Linked DNA regions of Anolis sagrei. The protein of the gene in region 3 binds, or shares a complex with, the protein of the main gene of each other region. Links are inferred from orthologs where the notes say so. Each region holds a gene or a part of one and is shown on either strand. Other genes may lie near its edges. The genes, in order: MED4, MED21 and MED24.

Region 1 (3,752 bases), on a different chromosome or scaffold from region 3:
TTTAAAAAACATGAATTCCTATGCATACTGCACATATCTTATTTGTAGTGCAAAAACACTTAAAAACAATACAATAATTAAAATGAAGAACAATTTTAACAAATATAAACTTATTAGTATTTCAATGGAAAGTGTGGGCCTGCTTTTGGCAGAGGAGATAGGATTGTTGTTGTTGTTGTTGTTGTGTGCTTCCAAGTCATTTCAGAGTTAGGTTGACCCTGAGCGAGGGCTGGGTAAATGACCTTGGAGGGCCGTATCTGGCCCCTGGGCCTTAGTTTGAGGACCCCTGGTCTAAATGCTACTCAGTAATTTCCCTCTAGAGCAGTGGTTCTCAACCTGGGGTCCCCAGATGTTTTTGGCCTACAACTCCCAGAAATCCCAGCCAGTTTACCAGCTGTTAGGATTTCTGGCAGCTGAAGGCCAAAAACATCTGGGGACCCCAGGTTGAGAACCACTGCTCTAGAGTTTTCTCAAGGCTTGAGTTATAAATTCACTCTTCCAAATGATATATATTCCTTCCATGAGGAAGAACTTCCTGACTGTGAGAGCCGTTCAGCAGTGGAACTCTCTGTCCCGGAGTGTGGTGGGGGCTCCTTCTTTGGAAGCTTTTAAACAGAGGCTGGATAGCCATCTGTCAGGGGTGCTTTGAATGCAATATTCCTGTCCAGGGGGTTGGACTGGATGGCCCATGAGGTCTCTTCCAACTCTTTGATTCTATGTTTCTAAGGCCTTGAGTCTCTTCTGTCAAACGGCAACTGGAGCCCCTTGCACATAGCTGGATAAAATCCCCATTGAACTGGGTTATGTGGCATTGTGGACTCAGATAACGCAGATCAAAGCAGATATTGTGGAAGACCTGCCTTGATAGTCTGGGTTATATGGCTGTGTGGAAGGGCCCTCCCAGGGTTCCCCAACAGTGGTGCCAAACTGTGTTAACTCGGCAGTGCAGAGTGTGAGCCCTCCCTCTGCAGAAAGAGGTGAGTTCCGGGTGCCGGCGCCGGAAGGAGGGGGAGGGCATCTAAAGGACGCTGGGGAAGGAAAGCAAGGCCAGGCCAGGGTCTGTCTCCACCGCCCTCCTCTTCCCCGCTCCCCTCACCTTGGCAGCGAGGCTGGCGCGCCCTCCCTGGTATCCCCTCAGCTGCCTGGCGGCCGCTGTCACCACCCGAGAACACATCATGGAGGCGGCCATGACGAGCCTCCTTCCTCCCCGGCCCCTCGGCTCAGGCGAGCTTGCCCCGCTCGCGCTACGCATGCGCCAGCGCGAGCCACAGCACGGGCCAGGGCGCGCGCCCTCAATCACCCTGGCGCCACGAGGGGCGCTGCCACTTCCGGTTTGTGTGCCTGTTTCTCTCGCTTCCGGCGCGTTCACCCTCCCTCCCTGTTGTCAGAGACGCGGAGAGAGGCAATGGCGGCGGCGGCAGGGGTTGGAGACCGGAGTAGCACTCGGGAGCGGCTCTTGGCAGCGCTGGACGACCTGGAGCTCCTTGCCAGGTAAGTTCCCCTTGTCGCAGGGGCAATGTCTGCAGGGACGCCTTCTTCGCTTCTCAGGGCCGAGGGCCTTGGTCATCTTCTGGCTGATGTTGATGCAGGCGAAACGTCAGGAGAGAATGCCTCTAGAACATGGCCATATAGCCCGAAAAAAACCTACAACAACCCAGTGATTCCGGCCATGAAAGCCTTCGACAATACATTGAACATCTCTACGGGGAGAAACTGTTCCAAGCCATATCAACATGAGCCAGAAGATGAATTCCCAGGACTGGGACAAAATAGACAACCTCACTTACAGGAAAATGGAGATAAACCCTTTTTCCTAGTTCCAACAGACCTCACAACCTCTGAGGATGCTTGCCATAGATGCAGGCGAAACGTCAGGAGAGAATGCCTCTAGAACATGGCCATATAGCCCGAAAAAAACCTACAACAACCCAGTGATTCCAGCCATGAAAGCCTTCGACAATACATTGAACATCTCTACTGGGAGAAACTGTTCCAAGCCATATAAACATCAGCCAGAAGATGAATTCCCAGGACTGGGACAAAATAGACAACCTCTGAGGATGCTTGTCATAGATGCAGGCAAAACGTCAGGAGATAATGCCTCTAGAACATGGCTATATAGCCCGAAAAAGCCTACAACAACCCAGTGATTCCAGCCATGAAAGCCTTCGACAATGTATACTCAAACAGAATATTAATTGAGGACACAGAAATGCTGGTCCACTCTGACAACCGGATAATATAAACCATAAGAATGTCAGACCTCACTACCTTTGAGGATGCTTGCCATAGATGCAGGCGAAACGTCAGGAGAAATGCCTCTAGAACATGGCTCTATAGCCTGAAAAAAACCCACAAGAACCTACTCATAAGAATGTTTTTCATACATATGTTATGGTCATAAAACATTCAATGTATGTACAAACAAATCTTGTCGAAGTACAACAGCCAGACTTTGCAGCTGCTACTCAATGCTAATCAAGGCTTCAAATAGGCAAAGGTTCTTTCCCCCACTCTTGTCCTTCCACAGATATATTTACACCCCACTTGCCTCATTCCAACACACCTCTGAACAAACATCTGAGGGTGCCTGCCATAGTTGCAAACGAAACATCAGGAAAGAATGCTACTGAAACATGGTCATACAGCCCAAAAAAAACTCACAGCAACTCAATGAAATATGTTCTGGTTTTTCAAATATGGTTCCAGTCACCGGAGAATAAATGGAAGCGATGCAGCAAACCAGGGGGGGGGGGGGGAAACTTTTATAGGAATTGGGGCCAAACACATGTAGCCAGAACATGACCTAAAGGGCCAATTTTTTGGGAAACAGAATTCAGATGAGCACTTAGTTCTTGTGTAATTATTTTTGTTGCACCTCACTTAATCAGAATACACATGCATATACATTAAACCAATAAGGTCATAAAATGCAAAATTGCAAACATTAACAAATAGACTTCCTAACTGGAAGCAGGAGGCAGAGAAATTCCATGGGTTTTGAGTTGTTCATTATCTTCTTATGAGGAAGTCAATCACTACATAAGAAATTGATAGGTTCCATCTGCATACAGCTGACTAACCTTTTTTTTCATCTGTAAAGTACTGGAAGGCAGAAATTGATTTGGTTATCAGTATAAAGATGTTCTTGTGAAATATGGAGAGCTATTAAGTTTATGATTTTTTTTGAAGTTTAACAATAGAGGCAGGAAAATGTGTTTCTGTTCTAAAAGAGGATAAACTCTTTCTTGCTTCTTTCTTTATGCTAAATGTGCTTCAGGGAGCTGATTGAAATGCTGGCAATTTCAAGAAACCAGAAACTTACACAAACCGGAGAGGACAGCCAGGTAATCAAAGAGTTTCGAAATAATATAAAGAGTATTAAAGTGGTTGACCTTTTCACTTCTTACCATACTTACTCAAGCATAATTTGTTATCAATTGTAATGTTCATCTCAATTTTGAAAGTGCACATTGCAAAAAAAAATGTTTTCTTGTTAAATGTAATGCATGGGTTCCCCTTGCCTGTTGGATGTTCAGCTCACCACCCTGGAAAAATTGACAGGCAAGGAGAAGCCTTGCTTCTCCATCTGTCCAAGGCTGGTGAACTAACTAGCCTCAGCCTGACGGACGTTTGGCAGCGTCTCAAATAAGGCCTCATTCACAAGGCCTTCAAAACTGAGTTCTCAGCCTGATGGAAGGGTGCAGGCAATTCTAACGCACCATCAAATCTTATGCGTACCTCACCTTTGG
Region 2 (3,752 bases), on a different chromosome or scaffold from region 3:
CAGCAAAAGTTTGTCCCAGGCACAGTCAGGCCATTGTATGTTAATCAAGGTGGTCAGTTGAAACATTCACACCTAGCTCCAGCAGACAAGAGTCCTTTGTCTCACCCTGGTCATTCCACAGATATATAAACCCTTTTGCCTAGTTCCAACAGACCTCACAACTTCTGAGGATGCTTGCCAAAGATGCAGGCGAAACATCAGGAGAGAATGCCTCTAGACCATGGCCATATAGCCCGAAAAAAACTACAACAACCCAAAGGTTTGTATATATCAGCAATCCAATGTTACACTATCTCAGCCCAAAATGTAGACAATTTGGGCTTTGGGGTATAGCAATTTGGATAAGAGATGCTCAGCTCAAACTGATCAGCTATTTATTTATCGTGTCATCAGCAACCATTGTATTACAATTCTAACAGAGCAAAACAAACACACAGATTAAAAAGAAAAAGGAAAAAAAACACACAGATTTTGCAAATTTGGTATTTGGTTAAATGTCCTTTGACGAGTATCTGGCCACTTGGAGTGCCTCTGGTGTTGCCGCAAGAAGGTCCTCTATTGTGCATGTGGCAGGGCTCAGGGTGCATTGCAGCAGGTGGTCAGTGGTTTGCTCTTCTCCACACTCACATGTCGAGGATTCCACTTTGTAGCCCCATTTCTTAAGATTGGCTCTGCATCTCGTGGTGCCAGAGCGCAGTCTGTTCAGCGCCTTCCAAGTCGCCCAGTCTTCTGAGTGCCCAGGAGGAAGTCTCTCATCTGGTATCACCCATGGATTGAGGTGCTGGGTTTGGGCCTGCCACTTTTGGACTCTCGCTTGCTGGGGTGTTCCAGCGAGTGTCTCTGTAGATCTTGATTTAAGTCGTTGACGTGCTGGCTGATACCCAAACAGGGGATGAGCTGGAGATGTCTCTGCCTTGGTCCTTTCACTATTGGCTGCTACTTCCCGGCAGATGTCAGGTGGTGCAATACCGGCTAAGCAGTGTAATTTCTCCAGTGGTGTAGGGCGCAGACACCCTGTGATAATGCGGCATGTCTCATTAAGAGCCACATCTACTGTTTTAGTGTGGTGAGATGTGTTCCACACTGGGCATGCATACTCAGCAGCAGAGTAGCATAGCGCAAGGGCAGATGTCTTCACTGTGTCTGGTTGTGATCCCCAGGTTGTGCCAGTCAGCTTTCGTATGATGTTGTTTCTAGCGCCCACTTTTTGTTTGATGTTCAGGCAGTGCTTCTTGTAGGTCAGAGCACGATCCAGAGTGACTCCCAGGTATTTGGGTGTGTTGCAATGCTCGGCTACGACTCTGGAAACCAGGGTCTGAATCCGTGCTAGACTGGGTGCCTCACAGGAAGGCAAAGGTAAACACTGGAAAGGCCTGAAGGGACTGCTTTCCCTTGCAAGAAGGAGGTTTTTCCCATCCAACAGAGGGCGCAGTTGAAAGAATCCCATTCGTCACCCACAGAATCAATACTTTACAATCTTCCGGATTGGACCAGCGCGTCACGGCGTTGCTTAGCAACGCCACCTCCCGCCCTTTCCTCGGGATTGGCCGGGAGCTTCCCATTGGCTCTCGCGTGGCTTTGTGTTGGTCGCTGCTTCCAAGATGGCGGATCGCCTCACTCAGCTGCAAGACGCCGTCAATTCGGTGAGTTGACGAGGAGGATGCATGCATGCATGCATGGGCCATTGGTCTTCCCCCTTCTCTGGAAAGTTGGAGTTGTATTTATTTTTATTGGAAGGAGAGAAAAAAAGGCAATTTGCTCTAGGGATGGCTTCTACTAAATAAATCCCTGAGTAGAAATGGCCACTCTCTCGCCCTTTTCTTAGTTCTTACTCTCCTTCAGACCACATTTTGTCAAGCTGTTATTCCATCTCAACTGCTATGGCAGCACTGTATGACATTCTTGGATAGGCAGTGTTGAAGAACTTAGACGTTTTCACCAGAAAGCCTTTGGGTCTCACTGAACTTCAAAACTCTGGGGTTCCACAGGATGTTGCCATGGCAGCTGAAGTGGAGTGAGAGCGCCGTAGCCAGGTAGAGTGACAGGGCCCACAATGAGTTTAGCAAAATACTTACACCATGTCACAAAATTTGAGAATTTTTCTGTTCCTAGTTTGAAAGTGATATTTCTTGTTTAATTGTGCGGTACTTTGAAAGCAGTTGCTCTACTCCAGAAATTTTGTTTTTGTGGCTGACACAAATGATGGCCCCTTCTACACTACCATGTAAAATTTATTTATTTATTATTCGAACTTATATGCCGCCACTCCCCTGGGGCTCAGAGCGGCTTACAAGAATAGGCTAAAATCGAACACAATTTTAAAACAATTTAAAACAATTTAAAAACAGCAATATCAAACATTAAAAGCCTGTCAAAACAGGTATGTCTTACATGCCCTGCGGAAAGCTGGTAAGTCCCGCAAGGCACGGACTTCAGGTGGCAGAGTATTCCAGAGTGATGGTGCCACTGCTGTGAAGGCTCTGTGTCTGGTTGCTGTTAGACGCAAGGTCTTGACACTGGGGACTTCCAATAGATCTTGGTCCTCAGAACAGAGGGATCTCTGGGGTTGGTAGGGGGTGAGGCAGTCCCTCAGGTACATTGGCCCTAGACCATGCAAGGCCTTAAAGGTGAGTACCATCACTTTGAAAGTGATCAGGTGCTCAATTGGTAACCAATGCAGCTGCAGTAAGATTGGTGTTGTGTGGCATCTCATCGGAATTCCCGCAAAAAGCCGAGCAGCTGCATTTTGTACCAACTCGAGCTTCCGGATCATCGACAGAGGAAGGCCAATGTAGAGGGCGTTACAGTAGTCCAATCTTGAGATGACTGTAGCCTGGATCACCATAGCTAGGTCATCCCTAGACAGGTAGGGACAGCCATCTAGCCTGCCGCAGATGAAAAAAGGCAGTTCTGCTAACAGCAGAGACCTGGGCCTCCATGGTCAGCAGAGGGTCCAAAAGGACTCCCAGATTACTTGCTTTGAACAGGATTATATAGCAGTGTAGACTCGGGTCCCTTTCACACAGCTGAATAAAATTCAGATTATTTGCTTTAAACTGGAATATATGGCAGTGTGGACTCAGGCAACCCAGTTCAAAGCAAATATTGTGTGATTTTCTGCCTTCATAGTCTGGGTTTTATGGCTGCATGGAAGGGCCCTCAGGCTCCTTCTAAACTGACGTTTAATCCAGTTCAAATCAAATAATGTGAATTATCTGATTTTATAATCTGGATTATATGGCAGTGTAGAAGCAGCCTAAATTAAATTGATTCAGGTCCCATCTACATAATAATAATAATTATCGTTATGATTGTGTTTATTTATATCCAACCCCTTCTCCAAACAGGACTCGGGGCGGCTTGCAAAAAAGAAAACAGTACAAAAACCAAAGCAAAAATAAAACATAATTCATAAACTGCAATATCAAAAACCTAACAAAAAATAAAATGCAATACAAAAGCCAAGGCAAAAAAAAAACAATACATAAACAGCAGTCTCAAAACCTAACAGATTATCTGCTTCAAACTGAATTACAGTGTTCCCTCACTTATCGCGGGTGTTCCGTTTCAGGGCCAGCCACGATAAGTGAAAATCTGCCCACTCAGCGACAGCCGCCTCCTCCTCACCACTTCCGCTGCTCCCGGCCTCTGATGCTCCTTGGGCACCGTTGATGGCATTGCCAGGCTGGTCTGAGGCCTCAGCCCAGCCCGGCAGTGCCATCAACGGAGCCCAAGGGGCTTCCAAGGCCGGG
Region 3 (3,752 bases):
GCAACGACCAGTCTCGATAAATTAGTGAAGAGTAGAAACAATACACTGACAACTAAGGTCTGCATAGTTAAAGCAGTGATATTTCCCGTAGTAACCTATGGATGTGAGAGCTGGACCATAAGGAAGACTGAGTGAAAGAAGATAGACGCTGTTGAACTCTGTTGTTGAAGGAAAATTCTGAGAGTGCCTTGGTCTGCGAGAAAATCCAACCAGTCCATAATTCAGGAAATAAAGCCCGACTGCTCATTGGAGGGAAGGATATTAGACGCAAAGATGGAATACTTTGGCCACATCATGAGAAGAAAGGAAAGAGTAGAGAGGACAATGATGCTGGGGAAAAAGGAAGGAAAAAGGAAGAGGGGCCGACCAAGGGCAAGGTGGATGGATGGTATCCTTGAAGTGACTGGATTGACCTTTAAGGAGCTGAGGGTGGCCACGGCTAACAGGGAGCTCTGGCATAGGCTGGTCCACGAGGTCACGAAGAGTCGGAAGCGACGGAATCAACAAAACAATGTGTTCCAATTATTCTGTAACCCGCCTCGAGCCACGAGGTGAGGCGGTAGAAAAATAAAATTATTCTTCCTCTTATTATTATTTACATTTTAAAAGTGTGATACAGTAAAACAGTAAAACTGTGTTACATTACATTTGTTTTTATTTGATTTCAGTGACTGTATTTCAATATCAAGTCAGTACAGAGCTTATGATATGACATAGTATGGGATGTAGTATTAGTTAGGTCAATTTTAATAGTAACTCTCAAGCAAGCAGAAATTATGTTTATTTGACATCTACTAATCCTCATGGGTGCTGATTAACCGAGAGCTCTCTCTCTCTCTCTCTCTCTCTCTATATATATATATATATAAGGTAAAGGTAAAGGTTTTCCCCTGACATTAAGTCCAGTCGTGTCCGACTCTGGGGTGTGGTGCTCATCTCCATTTCTAAGCCGAAGAGCCGGCGTTATCCATAGACATCTCCTAGGTCAAGTGGCTGGCATGACTGCAAGGTGCGCTGTTACCTTACTGTCGGAGCGGTACCTATTGATCTACTCACATTTGCATGTTTTTGAACTAATAGGTTGACAGAAGCTGGGGCTAACAGCGGGAACTCACCCTGCTCCCTGGATTTGAACTTGCGACCTTTCGGTCAACAAGTTGAGCAGCTCAGTGCTTTAACCCACTGCGCCACAGGGTATATATATATATATATATATATATATATATATATATAAAATTGTGTGTGTGTGTGTGTGTATATATTATCTCATTTAAAAGTATTCACATAATAAAGGATAGTTAGTATGGAGTTTGCAGATTTATTTTCTTTATTTATTACTTTAGTTTGTGTGAGTTCATTATAGTAAGCAGACTGTAGCTGTGCTCCTTGGTATTATTATGGCCTTTCTATTATGTTCTTTTTCTCCCTCAAATAGAATAATTCCTTCAAAAACCCCATTACACTCCATTGGATTCAAATAAACTACATCCCCCACCAGCCCTTGCGCCTTAGGGATCGCGCCAGCCAATTAGCGCACGGCTCTTTGCGAAGTGGGAAAATGGCGGAATCCAGGAACTGAGAGGCGTGTGTTTCTTTGTATAGGGAAAGGAATAGGTAAGTGGACCAAAGGAAAACAATGAAGAATCCTCAGTTTTTCTCCACTTTAATAACCAAACCCCCTTTGGTTATTATGTCTGCCCCTTTTACACTGCCAGATAAAATCCAGATTCTCTGTTTTCAACTGGATTATATGGCAGTGTAGACTCGGATAATCCAGTTCAAAGCAGATAATGTGTATTATTTGCTTTGATAATCTGGATTATATGGCAGTGTAGAAGGGGCCTCTTGAGTTTTGTTCACTATATGAGTGACCTGTTTTTAGTCTTGCAAGGAGTTTGTTTTACTAGAATCCACATGGTCTTACGATGTAACTTAAGTTTAATGCAAAATGTAAACTTTGCCAGAGCAGTTCTACATGTCTATTCAAAAACAAGGCATTTTCTATTATTATTATTATTATTATTATTATTAACTTTATTTGTACCCCGCTAGCATCTCCCGAAGGACTCGATGTGGCTTACAAAGGCCAAGGCTTCAAAAAACAACACAACAATACAAAACCTAAAGCAAATTAAAAACAATCAAAGCAATATTAAACAACAAGCAATAAACAATACACCAAGACACAATAAAACTGGGCCGGGCAAGAGTAATGGGTACAGAATTAAAAGTGCTGATGTGACAGGTGATATGTAAGGATTATAGGGTAAGTGCAGTGTGCGGTGTGCAGTAGTCTTAATTCTAATAAAGTGCTTCTGGGACTTGTTATTGGAGTTTTCCTATTCTGGAAAGGCACATCGGAACAGCCAGGTCTTCAAGTTCTTTCTAAAGCCTGCCAATATAGGGACCTGCCTAAGATCTTTGGGGAGGGTGTTCCAGAGTCGGGGGGCCACCACAGAAAAGGCCCAGTCTCACGTCCCCACCAAACGCGCCTGCAACGCAGGCGGAATCACGAGCAGGGCCTCTCCGGATGAACGAAGTGTGCGCGTGGGTTCATAAACGGAGATGCGGTCACACAGGTAGGATGGTCCCAAACCGTTTAGGGCTTTGTAGGTAAGCACCTGCACCTTAAATTGGGCTTTCTAAATATGATTGTATGATATTGCAACCTAACTACCACAGTGAGTTTTATGTGATACTAAATAATGTTTTTCCCCTTTTCTTTCCATACTCTTAATGCAGTTAGTTACTAGTTTAACTGCCTTGGATGAATGCTGTTGAATTCTGGGAATTGTGATTTGGTGAAAGCCCAACACCCTTTAGCAGAGAGGGTGAATGACCTTGTGAAACTACATTTCCCATCATTCCATAACATTTGAGTGGTATCAGACAGCATCAATTCCACGGTGTAGATGTACACTGAGGCTCCTTCTACACAGCTAAATAAAGCCCCCATTTTCTGCTTTGAACTGGAATATAAGGCAGTGTGGACTCAGATAATACTTGTTGTTTATTTATTCAGTTGCTTCTGACTCTTCGTGACCTCATGGACCAGCACTCCAGAGCTCCCTATTGGCTGTGGCCACCCCCAGCTCCTTCAAAGTCAAGCCAGTCACTTCAAGGATACCATCCATCCATCTGGTCCTTAGTTGGCCCATCTTCCTTTCTCCCAGCATCATTTTCCCCAGCATCATTATCTTCTCCAAGCGTTCCTATCTTATTATGTGGCCAAAGTACTTCATCTTTGCCTCTAATATCCTTCTCTCTAACCCAGTTCAAAGCAAATATTTTGGGATTTTCCGCCTTTATATTCTGGGTTATATGGTGGTGTGAAAGGGTCGTGAGTGTCAGCTCTTAGGTCTCCATAGGCTAATATTTTATTTTTTTCTATTTTGTAAGATTCCTTGTAAGCATATGATCCAGATGAAATTAGCTTTCAAGAAACCGGTGGTAGGAGATATGTAGCCTCTCAGCCTACATTTACAGTCTAATCAACTTGATATCACTTTAACTGCTATGGCGCTATGTTATGGGAGTTATAGTCTGGTTGGGGGCACTAGCCCCCTTTGGCAGAGAAGGCTGAAGGCTTTGTGAAACCACAGCATTGAGCCACAGCAGGTAAAATGTTGTCAAAATACATTATTTCTACAGTGGGTACACCCTCTGGTATATATTTTCCCAGGCTCCATGTACACTGCCATATAAAATCCAGATTATCTGCTTTGAACTGGATTATATGGCAGTGTAAATCC

What was found.
Region 1: MED24 (region 3) and MED4 share a complex: the UniProt entries of both Homo sapiens proteins name them as parts of the mediator complex. The link is inferred for Anolis sagrei from reciprocal best matches to the Homo sapiens genes MED24 and MED4.
Region 2: MED24 (region 3) and MED21 share a complex: the UniProt entries of both Homo sapiens proteins name them as parts of the mediator complex. The link is inferred for Anolis sagrei from reciprocal best matches to the Homo sapiens genes MED24 and MED21.

What each region holds. Positions count from the first base shown.
Region 1 is NC_090021.1:150,140,557-150,144,308, forward strand, and holds the start of MED4 (mediator of RNA polymerase II transcription subunit 4), read left to right. Parts: upstream 1-1,354; 5' UTR 1,355-1,405; coding exon 1,406-1,491; intron 1,492-3,280; coding exon 3,281-3,347; intron 3,348-3,752. Other genes in the region: SUCLA2 (succinate--CoA ligase [ADP-forming] subunit beta, mitochondrial), read right to left, coding at 1,097-1,252. UniProt on the Homo sapiens protein: Component of the Mediator complex, a coactivator involved in the regulated transcription of nearly all RNA polymerase II-dependent genes.
Region 2 is NC_090025.1:91,892,940-91,896,691, forward strand, and holds the start of MED21 (mediator of RNA polymerase II transcription subunit 21), read left to right. Parts: upstream 1-1,536; 5' UTR 1,537-1,601; coding exon 1,602-1,643; intron 1,644-3,752. UniProt on the Homo sapiens protein: Component of the Mediator complex, a coactivator involved in the regulated transcription of nearly all RNA polymerase II-dependent genes.
Region 3 is NC_090026.1:40,879,925-40,883,676, forward strand, and holds the start of MED24 (mediator of RNA polymerase II transcription subunit 24), read left to right. Parts: upstream 1-1,542; 5' UTR 1,543-1,614; intron 1,615-3,752. UniProt on the Homo sapiens protein: Component of the Mediator complex, a coactivator involved in the regulated transcription of nearly all RNA polymerase II-dependent genes.